Linked DNA regions of Rattus norvegicus. The protein of the gene in region 1 purifies or fractionates together with the protein of each later gene. This does not show direct contact. Links are inferred from orthologs where the notes say so. Each region holds a gene or a part of one and is shown in the gene's direction. Other genes may lie near its edges.

Evidence for each region.
Region 2: the proteins of Slf2 (region 1) and Slf1 purify together in Homo sapiens (co-immunoprecipitation; 3 studies listed by BioGRID and IntAct, with this or other methods). This does not show direct contact. The link is inferred for Rattus norvegicus from reciprocal best matches to the Homo sapiens genes SLF2 and SLF1.
Region 3: the proteins of Slf2 (region 1) and Smc5 purify together in Homo sapiens (affinity purification with mass spectrometry; 3 studies listed by BioGRID and IntAct, with this or other methods). This does not show direct contact. The link is inferred for Rattus norvegicus from reciprocal best matches to the Homo sapiens genes SLF2 and SMC5.

The regions. Positions count from the first base shown.
Region 1 is NC_086019.1:253,752,411-253,756,065, forward strand, and holds part of Slf2 (SMC5-SMC6 complex localization factor protein 2), read left to right. Parts: intron 1-1,082; coding exon 1,083-1,185; intron 1,186-3,655. UniProt on the Homo sapiens protein: Plays a role in the DNA damage response (DDR) pathway by regulating postreplication repair of UV-damaged DNA and genomic stability maintenance.
Region 2 is NC_086020.1:8,554,218-8,557,872, reverse strand, and holds part of Slf1 (SMC5-SMC6 complex localization factor protein 1), read left to right. Parts: intron 1-185; coding exon 186-349; intron 350-3,655. UniProt on the Homo sapiens protein: Plays a role in the DNA damage response (DDR) pathway by regulating postreplication repair of UV-damaged DNA and genomic stability maintenance.
Region 3 is NC_086019.1:230,210,116-230,213,770, reverse strand, and holds part of Smc5 (structural maintenance of chromosomes protein 5), read left to right. Parts: intron 1-2,172; coding exon 2,173-2,298; intron 2,299-3,655. UniProt on the Homo sapiens protein: Core component of the SMC5-SMC6 complex, a complex involved in repair of DNA double-strand breaks by homologous recombination.

The DNA.
Region 1 (3,655 bases):
AAAGGTGAAAACTTTCCAAGTTGTCTTCAGTTTGCAAGTTTTAAGCCTGCTGGGCCATAAGAGATATTATCTCAAAGTGGAGAACTGATTATGTAAAATCCAGCCATGGCAGTTCACAGCTGTAATCCTAGAATTGCTGGGGCAGGAAGATCGCAAGTTTGGTGTCACTCTGAGCCTACAGAGCAGGACCTTTTCTCCAAAAACATATTCCCAGTACCACAAAAGGAAAGGGTCACCGGTGACAACAGTAATAACAGTGGCTGTCAGAAGCTGGAGTTTGACCAAGGTTTGTTTTGGTTTTTTTTTTTTTTTTTTTTTTTTTTTTGGTTCTTTTTTTCGGAGCTGGGGACCGAACCCCGGGCCTTGCACTTCCTAGGCAAGCGCTCTACCACTGAGCTGGGGACCGAACCCAGGGCCTTGCGCTTCCTAGGCAAGCGCTCTACCACTGAGCTAAATCCCCAACCCCTGTTTGTTTTATTCATGGCTAGAGAGTCCTGGCTCTGGTCTCTTGTTTTGCTGTGTTTTTCCTCCACTAGTACTGTCTACTGCTCCATTGTATTGCAGTGCTCGCTTCCCGCTCAGATTCGCAGAAAGCACATAGAGCTGGAGCTTGCCTTTGCTTGTGGCTGATTGGGTGAACTGTCAGCAGTAGCACATATAGCAAGTGATTTTGCGCAGCTAAAAATCAGAACTTCAGTACCACTGAGAAAGACAAAAAGAGATATTGGGATAGATAGTTCTTAGGCTCGCTCTGTCCAATGCCTGACTAGGATAATTGTTCTGAGTGTGTGGCATTTCAAGTCTGTAAAGACCATGTGGACTCTGGTGCTGAGTTTTAGGAAAGTTCACCCCTAAAATGGCAAAAGCTCGTGTCCTCAGACTTGGTAGTCTGAGCACTGCATACAAATGTGCCTCTGCCCACAGAGGAGTCAGATGGGCATCAGTTACGTGGGAACCTGCTCCATGTTAGTGTGGAATCCACCCCATCAGCTGAAGTTTGCTTCCTCATTTCTCTGATTATGCCCAGTGTGTGTGCAAGAGGTTTTTTCCATGGGTAACCATCACTGATTTTCTGTTTCCAGATCAGGAAAAACAGATCAGATTTTTTTGACAACACAAGGCTTCCTTACCACTGCATACCACTACGTCCAATGTCCTGTACCTGTGTTAAAGTGGCTGTTTCGGGTAAGAGAATTGTTTGGGGCTTATAGTGGGTACCTACTGTATTTCCTACTCAGTAAACTCCTAGGGTCTAGCAAAATAGCTCAGGAGTGAAGGCGTTTACCACCAAGCCTCACTACCTGAGTTCAGTGCCCCGGCCCTACACGGTAGAAGCAAAGAACCACCTCAAGAAAGCTGCACTCCGGCTTCTAGAGATGATGCGCACCCCATGCACACTATTAAGTGGATAAATGAATTGTTCTCACTTTAAGCAGAAAAAAAAATCCATATTAAACCCATGGTTCCTAGGGGAATAAAATGAGGCAGGAAGAGCCAGTGCTCCTTCTCAAGTTACAGCAGTGCTTGTGCCTGTGTCCCTATTCACACGTATCTACGTGGGAGTCTGTGCATGTGATGCAGGCCTGTGGAGGCCAGAGGTGTCAGGTTCCTTGAAGCTGGCATTGTAGTGACTGAGTCACCAGACATGTGTGCCAGGCACTGAATTCTAGTTCTCTATAAGAGCAGTACAAGCTCTCACTCTGAACCACTCAGCCATGTCGGCAGCCCCATGTATGTTTTTATGCAAACTCAGCTGGCTGTTTCTCTTCCATGTCCATATTAATGCTTAATTCATTTATATGTCCTTGTTTCTGTTTAAATGATGTAGATTTTATATAGTGCTTTGGTGTTCCTCTAGATATGTTAGACATGAGTGTAGGTGTTTATTGCTCTGGGCATATCGAGAAGACAGTAATTTAGTATATAATACAGTGGATTTTGGCCCTCTCTAGGGCTCTTGATGTTACGCTAGGTTCCCTGTTAGTAGTGCCCAGTTAAGGTAGTATTCTCCTTCCAAGGACACAGTTCATGGCAAGTTTTGTTGCTTGTTTGTTTGGTTTTGGATTTTGAAGACAGGGTTTCTCTGTATAGCCCTGGCCAGCCTGGAACGCTGTAGACCAGGTTGTCCTCCACCTCAAAAAGATCCAGGTGTCTCTGCCTCCCAAGTGCTGGGGCTGCAGGCATGTGCCACCACTGCCCAACTCCTGTCAAGTTTTTCTTAAAACTACTGGAGTGTTCTATTTTAATAAAATTCTGGATTTATAGAAAATAGTGGTTAAACCTTTTTTAAGTATAAAAGGATATTTTGTACTATGCAAAAATCTGCCCTGTAGGCAGGGGAGATGTTTTTGTGTAAAATGCTTACTGCACAAGTACAAGGGGCCTAAGTTCAGATTCTGAGGACCCATCTGCAGGCTCGGAGTGGCAACACATCTTGGCAACTCCTGTATATAGCTGAAAGTATATATGGGAAGATCATAGGGGCTCACTGGCCAGTGATTGTAGCTCCAGGTTCAGGAAGACCCTTTCTTAAAGAGTAAGATGAAATGGGCTAGGCAAGATGTCCAGTTGGAAAGGGTGCTTGTCACCAAGCCTGACAATCCAGATTCCGTCTCCAGGAACCAGATGGTAGGAGACAGCAGACTCCTGAGGTTGTCCTCTGACCTCCACTGGCTTGCTATGGATGTGTTCTCTTCCACAGCCAATAAGTAAATACGGTCATAGTGATACAGGAAGACTACCAGTGTTTACCTTCGCCTTAGCAGGGGCCTATGTGAGTGATTATGCCTTCATGTACATATATACAATAGTCTTGCCCTAGAAATCCTGTCTCCTTTTAAACAGTCTCATTATATAGCCCTTACTGGCCTGGAACTCACTGTGTAGACCAGGCCTCAAAGATCTACCAGCCTGTTCTTAGATGGTCTGGGTAGGATGACTCAGCAGATAAGAGCGCCAGCTGCTTTTGCAGAGGACCCAGGTTTTATTGGTATCAGAAAACTCTATTACATGTTGTCTTAGTCAGTGGTATTTTGCTGTGATGAGATACCATAACTACAGCAACTCTTATAAAGGAAAATGTTTAACTGAGGCTTACTTATAGTTGAAAGTCTGGTGTGGAAGTGGCAGCATGCAGGCAGCTAGAATGCTGGAGAGGTAGCCAAGAGTTCTACACCTGGATTGGCAGGCAGCAAGGAGAAGTGACCCGGGCCTGGCTGGAGCATGTGAAACCTCAAAGCCCACCCCCACTGACACATTTTCTCCAACGAAGCCACATGTCACACCTAATAGTGCTACTCTCTATGAGCCTGTGAGGATCATCATACTTGTGAACTAAGATTTAGGGCAAAATATGGCATTTCTACTCTTGACTTTGGGAGTATATCAGGAAACCTGTTTAAAAGACTTTAGAGACAATCTTCATTATTGTCATGTGGTTTACTTTCTAGTATTCTTTCATTATTGTCATGTGGCGGCAGGTGGAGGGTGTTTTGGGTTTTGTTTTTTCCAGACTGGTTCTCTGTATAACAGCCCTGACTGTCCTGGAATTCTCTCTGTAGACCAGGCTGGCCTCAAACTCACAGAGATCTGCCCCTGCCCCTGCCCCTGCCCCTGCCCCTGCCCCTGCCCCTGCCCCCCAAGTGCTGGGATTGAT
Region 2 (3,655 bases), on another chromosome or scaffold:
TGGGAACTCTATTGTGACTGTCATCATGTTATGAAAATTTTATATGTGCTACCCTAACAGTTAAGATTTTCTGATGTGTTGTTCACAAGGGTAGGCTAGAATTACTACTCTAGTTTTACACTAAATTAATGGATAAAACTGTTAACTGTTAACATTATTCTATTTTTATTTATTTTCAATAATAGGATAATATAGATACATTTTCTGGTCGATACTTTCATATATTATCAGCTCTTCTTCATCTGCATCCTCCTTGGAAGTCACCAGCCATGTCAAGATACTACTTAGAGCTATTTCAGTGTCCAACTTGTATGAAAGGAGCCTGGCCTCTCGTGGAGATGCTCGTCAGGTATGTCCTTTCATACGAAGACATTTTGTCTAATATGTGATTTACTATGGTATAGATACTAATTTTTAAAAGTGTCTTTTCATACTTTTAGAAAAATATGAATGCTTGATTTTGTAGTGTAAAATTATAAACAGGACAAATTATGTTGATCATGTTTGTCAATATTTTAAATATACTAAGTATTTGAAATAGACTTCAAATAATGACAACTTTTAAATTTTTTCCAAAATTCTCAATTTGAATATTTTTCAAGGAAAAAGTTATTAAGTGTAAGTATCAAACAAAGTTTAGTCATAAAAAGCATAAATATCATTATATGTGATATCTATTTTAGGGGTTTATTTTACTATAAGTAGACATTTGATTTTTTTAACCAGGACCTATTGTTTTCTAGCTATGTCTTTATTCTACACATGTCACTTCTCTAGGCCGTTGTTTGGTTTTTGAGTATTTCCACGAATCTTTCCTATTTTCTCTAGCTAGACTCATTATTTTATGATTTCTACTATAACTTTTATTTGATAGTCTTCCTTTACTGGGAACACTTGTTTTGTTTATGTATTGTCAAATTTATTTTACATAAAGGAGAAAAGATTACGTACATCTTTGTAAATTCCTTGAGTACATACCCAGGTTTTGTTACAGCATAATTGGGAAGAAGAGTATCTCAAGAGTACTGAGTATAGAGGAGCTAAGTATTAGTCTTTTTGCTATAAGCACTTGAGCCTGAGTAAGCAAAGTGCTTTGCACAAGAGCAGGAGTACCTCTGTTCCGTCCATTGAACTTAAGTTGTAAAAAGCTGGTACGGCCAAGAAGTGGTAGCCCTTGCCTTTAATCCTAGCTCTCTAGAGGCAGAGACAGGTAGATCCCTGAGTTTGAGTCCAGCCTATTCTTTGGAATCAGGTTTAGAATGGCCAGACCTACACAAAAAAAACCTTATGTAAGGGAAAAAAAAAAAGGGAAATTGGTATGCTACTATAATCCTAACCACTGAGTAGGCAGAGAATGGAGAATCACTGGAACTTGCTGGCCAACTAATCTTACTGCATCACTGAGTTCTGTATTCATTAACAGTCTGCATTTTAAAATTAAAAACTAAGTTGGCAAATGATTGAAGAAGATAACCGACATCAACCCTAATCTGTACATGCACTCAAACACATACACAAATATATCTTTAAAAATATACTGCATACAAGAAACATTCCTCAATGACAAAGACAGATACTACTTTAGAGGAAAATGCTGGAAGTCCTAGTCAGAGCAATCAGACAATAAAAGGAGATCAAGGGGATACAGATCGGAAAAGAAGAAGTCAAAATATCACTATTTGCAGATGATATGATAGTATATTTAAGTGATCCCAAAAGTTCCACCAGAGAACTACTAAACCTAATAAACACCTTCAGCAAAGTGGCTGGGTATAAAATTAACTCAAATAAATCAGTAGCCTTCCTCTACATAAAAGAGAAACAAGCCAAAAAAGAAATTAGGGAAACGACACCCTTCATAAAAGTCCCAAATAATACAAAATACCTTGGTGTGATTTTAACCAAGCAAGTGAAAGATCTGTATGATAAGAACTTCAAGCCTCTGAAGAAAGAAATCAAAGAAGACCTCAGAAGATGGAAAGATCTCCCATGTTCATGGATCAGCAGGATTAATATAGTAAAAATGGCCATTTTACCAAAAGCAATCTACAGATTCAATGCAATCCCCATCAAAATTCCAATCCAATTCTTCAGAGAGTTAGACAGAACAATTTGCGAATTCCTCTGGAATAACAAAAAACCCAGGATAGCTAAACCTACCCTCAACAATAAAAGGACTTCAGGGGGAATCACTATCCCTGAACTCAAGCAGTATTACAGAGCAATAGTGATAAAAACTGCATGGTATTGGTACAGAGACAGACAGATAGACCAGTGGAACAGAATTGAAGAAACAGAAATGAACCCACACACCTATGGTCACGTGATTTTTGACAAAGGAGCCAAAACCATCCAATGGAAAAAAGATAGCATTTTCAGCAAATAGTACTGGTTCAACTGAAGGTCAGCATATAGAAGAATGAAGCTCGATCCATGCTTATCACCCTGTACAAAGCTTAAGTCCAAGTGGATCAGGGATCTCCACATCAAACCAGATACTCTAACTAATAGAAGAAAATGTGGGGAAGCATCTTGAACACATGGGCACTGGAGAAAATTTCCTGAACAAAACACCAATGGCTTATGCTCTAAAATCTAGAATCGACAAATGGCATCTCATAAAACTACAAAGCTTCTGTAAGGGACACTGTTGTTAGGACAAAACGGCAACCATCAGATTGGGAAAAGATCTTTACCAATCCTACAATTGATAGAGGATTCATATCCAAAATATACAAAGAACTCAAGAAGTTAGACTGCAGGGAAACAAATAACCCTATTAAAAAATGGGGTTCAGAGCTAAACAAACAATTCACAGCTGAGGAATGCCGAATGGCTGAGAAACACCTAAAGAAATGTTCAACATCTTTAATCATAAGGGAATGCAAATTAAAACAACCCTGAGATTTCACCTCACACCAGTGAGAATGGCTAAGATCAAAAACTCAGGTGACAGCAAATGCTGGTGAGGATGTGGAGAAAGAGGAACACTCCTCCATCGTTGGTGGGATTGCAGACTGGTACAACCATTCTGGAAATCAGTCTGGAGGTTCCTCAGAAAATTGGACATTGAACTACCTGAGGACCCAGCTATACCTTGCTTGGGCATATACCCAAAAGATGCCCCAACATATAACAAAGACACGTGCTCCACGATGTTTATAGCAGCCTTATTTATAGTAGCCAGAAGCAGGAAAGAACCTAGATGCCCTTCAACACAGGAATGGATACAAAAAATGTGGTACATCTATACAATGGAATATTACTCAGCTATCAAAAAACAATGACTTTATGAAATTCGTAGGCAAATGGTTGGAACTGGAAAATATCATCGTGAGTGAGGTAACCCAATCACAGAAAAACACACATGGTATGCACTCATTGATAAGTGGCTATTAGTCCAAATGCTTGAATTACCCTAGATGCACAGAACACATGAAACTCAAGATGGATGATCAAAATGTGAATGCTTCACTCCTTCTTTAAAAGGGGAACAAGAATACTCTTTGCAGGGAATAGAGTTGCAAAGATTAAAACAGAGACAGAAGGAACACCCATTCAGAGCCTGCCCCACATGTGGCCCATACATACACAGCCACCCAATTAGACAAGATGGATGAAGCAAAGAAGTTTAGGCCGACAGGAGCCGGATGTA
Region 3 (3,655 bases), about 24 Mb from region 1:
TCACATCTGAAAGGTAACCCATTTCCTAAGCTAGTCTGATGTGTGTACTAGTGACTGTGATAATGCTTGGTCTAGAAGTGCATTAGATAGGGTAGATACCCTTATCCTCATACATGAAACTTCAAAGACTGGCCTTTGTCCACCTTAGTAAGGCTAAATTCTTATATCCTTATAGATGCCTCTCCTCCAGTCATATTATGTTACTAACTAGCCAAGTGTATCTTTGAGGCTTCTGTGTCTATATATTCATAATCATCTATCTTTAAATTTTTTCCATAACTGGTTCTTAGTAATTTTTCCCCATTAAAGCTGTGCAGTTAGCACAGCTTCCATGATCACTCTGACTTCCATCCTGTATTCTATTTCTTACTTACACATGCTCCACACTGCATTCACTGAAAAGCATTTATTATGACAAAAGGGGCATGTGCTGTATAGGACAAGCAACAGTACTTTATGGTGGCAGCATTTGTGAGGTAGAAGCAGAAAGATGAGGCATCTAGTGGTAACCTTGGCTACAGAGTAAGTTTGAAGGTGAGCCCATAATTCAGGAAACCCTTTCTCCAAATATAAGGTGTTCCCCCACCCCATTTTGATTTTTAAATTTAGTTTGTTTGTTTTTGAGAGTATGTTAGAATTACATTGTTTCCCTCTAAATTCTTTCATATGCTCCTCCACACTCCTTCAGATTCATGGCCTCCTTTTTTTCATCAGTTGTTACTGCATGTATATATGTACTTTTACATACTCACATATATAAATCTGGTGTGTGTGTGTTTCCAAATATAGCCTGTTGAGTATATACATATATTGCTTTTATGTAAGTTTGTGGGGCTGACCATTTGACACTGGAGAAACAATTTTTGTTCTCTTCCCTGGGTAGGGCCATCTCTTCTGCTCCCAGCTTTCCTCAGTTACCTGTAGGACTGAGGCTCCATGGGCTTTAACTCACGTTTGGGCAGTTACGCTGGTGAGACTTTACAGGTGGAGCTTCTGTTGTTCTGGGAGATACATTCTCACCTCAGAGTAGGTAGGGTTTCTTATAAGCAGGAACGAATGTGGGAGTTAGTAGTCTTTAAATGTGTGAACTCAAATGGTTTTTTTAATTAGTTTTTTAAAAATACTTTTATCTGGCCTGGTGGTGGTGGTACACACCTGTAATTCCAGCACTGGGGGGTGGGGAAGGATGCACAAGCAGATCTTTGGGTTGGTGGATAGCCTGGTCTACAGAGCTAGTTCCGGGACAGTTAAGGCTACACAGAGAAATCCTGTCTCGAGAAACATAAATAAATAAGTCAATAAATAAACAACTGGATGAATGAGTAAATAAATAACTTTGCCTTTTTAAATATATGTATTAGGGGCTTGGGTGTATGTACAAGGAGCCCAGCGGATTCCCTAGACCTGTAGTTGTGAGCCATCTCTCCATCCTCTTTTGAGCCTGTTACTATGTAGTGTTGTGGGAAATAAAAGATGCAAGGTCTAGGCATAGGGCTATGTGACTGTAATCCCCTTACTTGGGAAGCAGGAGGATCAGGAGTTCAAGGTCACTCTTGGCAACATAACAAGTTTAAAGCCAGCCTGGGCTACATGAGACCCTGCTTCTACAGCCCTACCTTCCCAAAATGGAGTGGGGACAGAGAGTAGGGAAAGGAGAGAAAACTTTGGTGGGAAGCACCCATGTACTCAGTAGATAATGTCTGTTTCTGTTATGATGATGGTTCTGTGGGTCTTGCCATATTCACCACTCAGTACTTAATACAGAATATAATATTGGCATCTCATGGATCTTGCTAATTAACTGCTAGGAAATGAATAAGTCCATGAATGAATGATAAATAGAGAAAACATTTGAAAAGTAATTTTAAAATTTATAATTGGATGCTATGTTTCTTATGTGAAGCCTGTGTATGATAATGTTCCATTAAAATTAAACATTTATAAAAGAGTAAACTTTAGGTTTCTTACATATTAGAGAGATACTGGCTCTGATATTTTAAAGTTTAAATTTTTACCTTCATAATAAAAGGCTAATGCACCTTTATTATAAAAAAGTCATGGTTCAGAAGACACGGTTCTCATAATCAGAATTCAGCAATTTATTCAATATGTGATTGCTTTATACAACAAACCTCTGATTTAGTAGTAACATTTTGAAATTTTTTTTAACAGCAACAGTTTATTGAATTGGATGACAATAGGCAGAGATTGTTACAGAAGTGCAAGGAACTTATGAAGAGAGCTAGGCAAGTATGTAACCTGAGTGCAGACCAAGCCGTTCCCCAAGAATTTCAGACAGTAAGTATAAAAATAAATAATGCTGCGTTTGACATAACACAGTATTTCCAGTTTAAGATGTCCTACTCTAGGCATAGTCACAGGACATGAAAACACAAAGTGGTATTTAAAACTCTGCCTTTTCCCATTCTTATACCATTGATAGTGTACATAAAGTAACTTTATATAGCTTTCTCTCAGATTTAGTCACCAGTCCTTGCTTAGTTTTAAAGTATGGGCATTATCTTGAAATGACAGCATTCATTTTCACAATTAAAGTCTTTCCCTCTTAACCGTCGTTGAGAGGGACTGTTGGAGTGTAAAACATTTGTGGAAACTAGTAAGTCGTTTGTGCTTCACAAACAGCAAGCAAGGGTGATACTGAGAAGAAAAAGGCAAGTGGTTTTAGGGGTCTTGTCTCTAAAGAGGGGTTTCCAGGTGCTGAGTCTTCCGAGATGATACCTTCTTTCAGTTCTACGCTGCTATGTCAGAGTCCGACTAAGCAATGCTACCTTCCAGTTCACACTCTGCATTCACTCTGTCCCTTCAGTTCACACTCTGCATTCACTCTGTCCCTTCAGTTCACACTGCATTCACTCTCTCCCTTCAGTTCATACTCTGCATTCACTCTGTCCCTTCAGTTCACACTCTGCATTCACTCTGTCCCTTCAGTTCACACTCTGCATTCACTTTGTCCCTTCAGTTCACACTGCATTCACTCTCTCCCTTAGTTCACACTCTGCATTCATTCTGTCTCTTGTGTTCCTAGGCTTTGTCCGACAGTGAAACCTTTCTGCATAGCTACTCAGAGTAATATCAAAATAGCTACAATGCATTTTTAAATAGTAGTATTGTGTACTTTTAAAATCTTGAATGTATCAACGTTCACAGATAATGAAATATCCACTAAGCATAGAAAAAGGCTAGTATAGTTTGTAGTTGTCATATCCTGGAAGGTTTTGTTTTATACTACCTGACACAGAAAACCACAGGGTACTCTGTTTGGGTACAGAGTAAGAATTCAACAGAAATTCATAAAACTAATTGAGAGGTTTGTTTCTAAAGATAATTGTAGAATGAATCTAAAATATGTTTTGTTTAATAAGATACTGGTGTGATGTGTATAAGTTCTAGTTTTTGTGTGCTGGGCATGGTGGCCGTTGTGGGTGGAGGCAGGATGATCCCAAATTCAATACCTACAAACAGAACTGAACTCTGGGGGTTGGGGATTTAGCTCAGTGGTAGAGCGCTTGCCTAGGAAGCGCAAGGCCCTGGGTTCGGTCCCCAGCTCCGAAAAAAAAAAAAAAAAAGAACTGAACTCTGTTTCAACCCTGCCTCCCCAAAAGTTACACTGCTTTTGAAAAAGTGAAATCAGGAA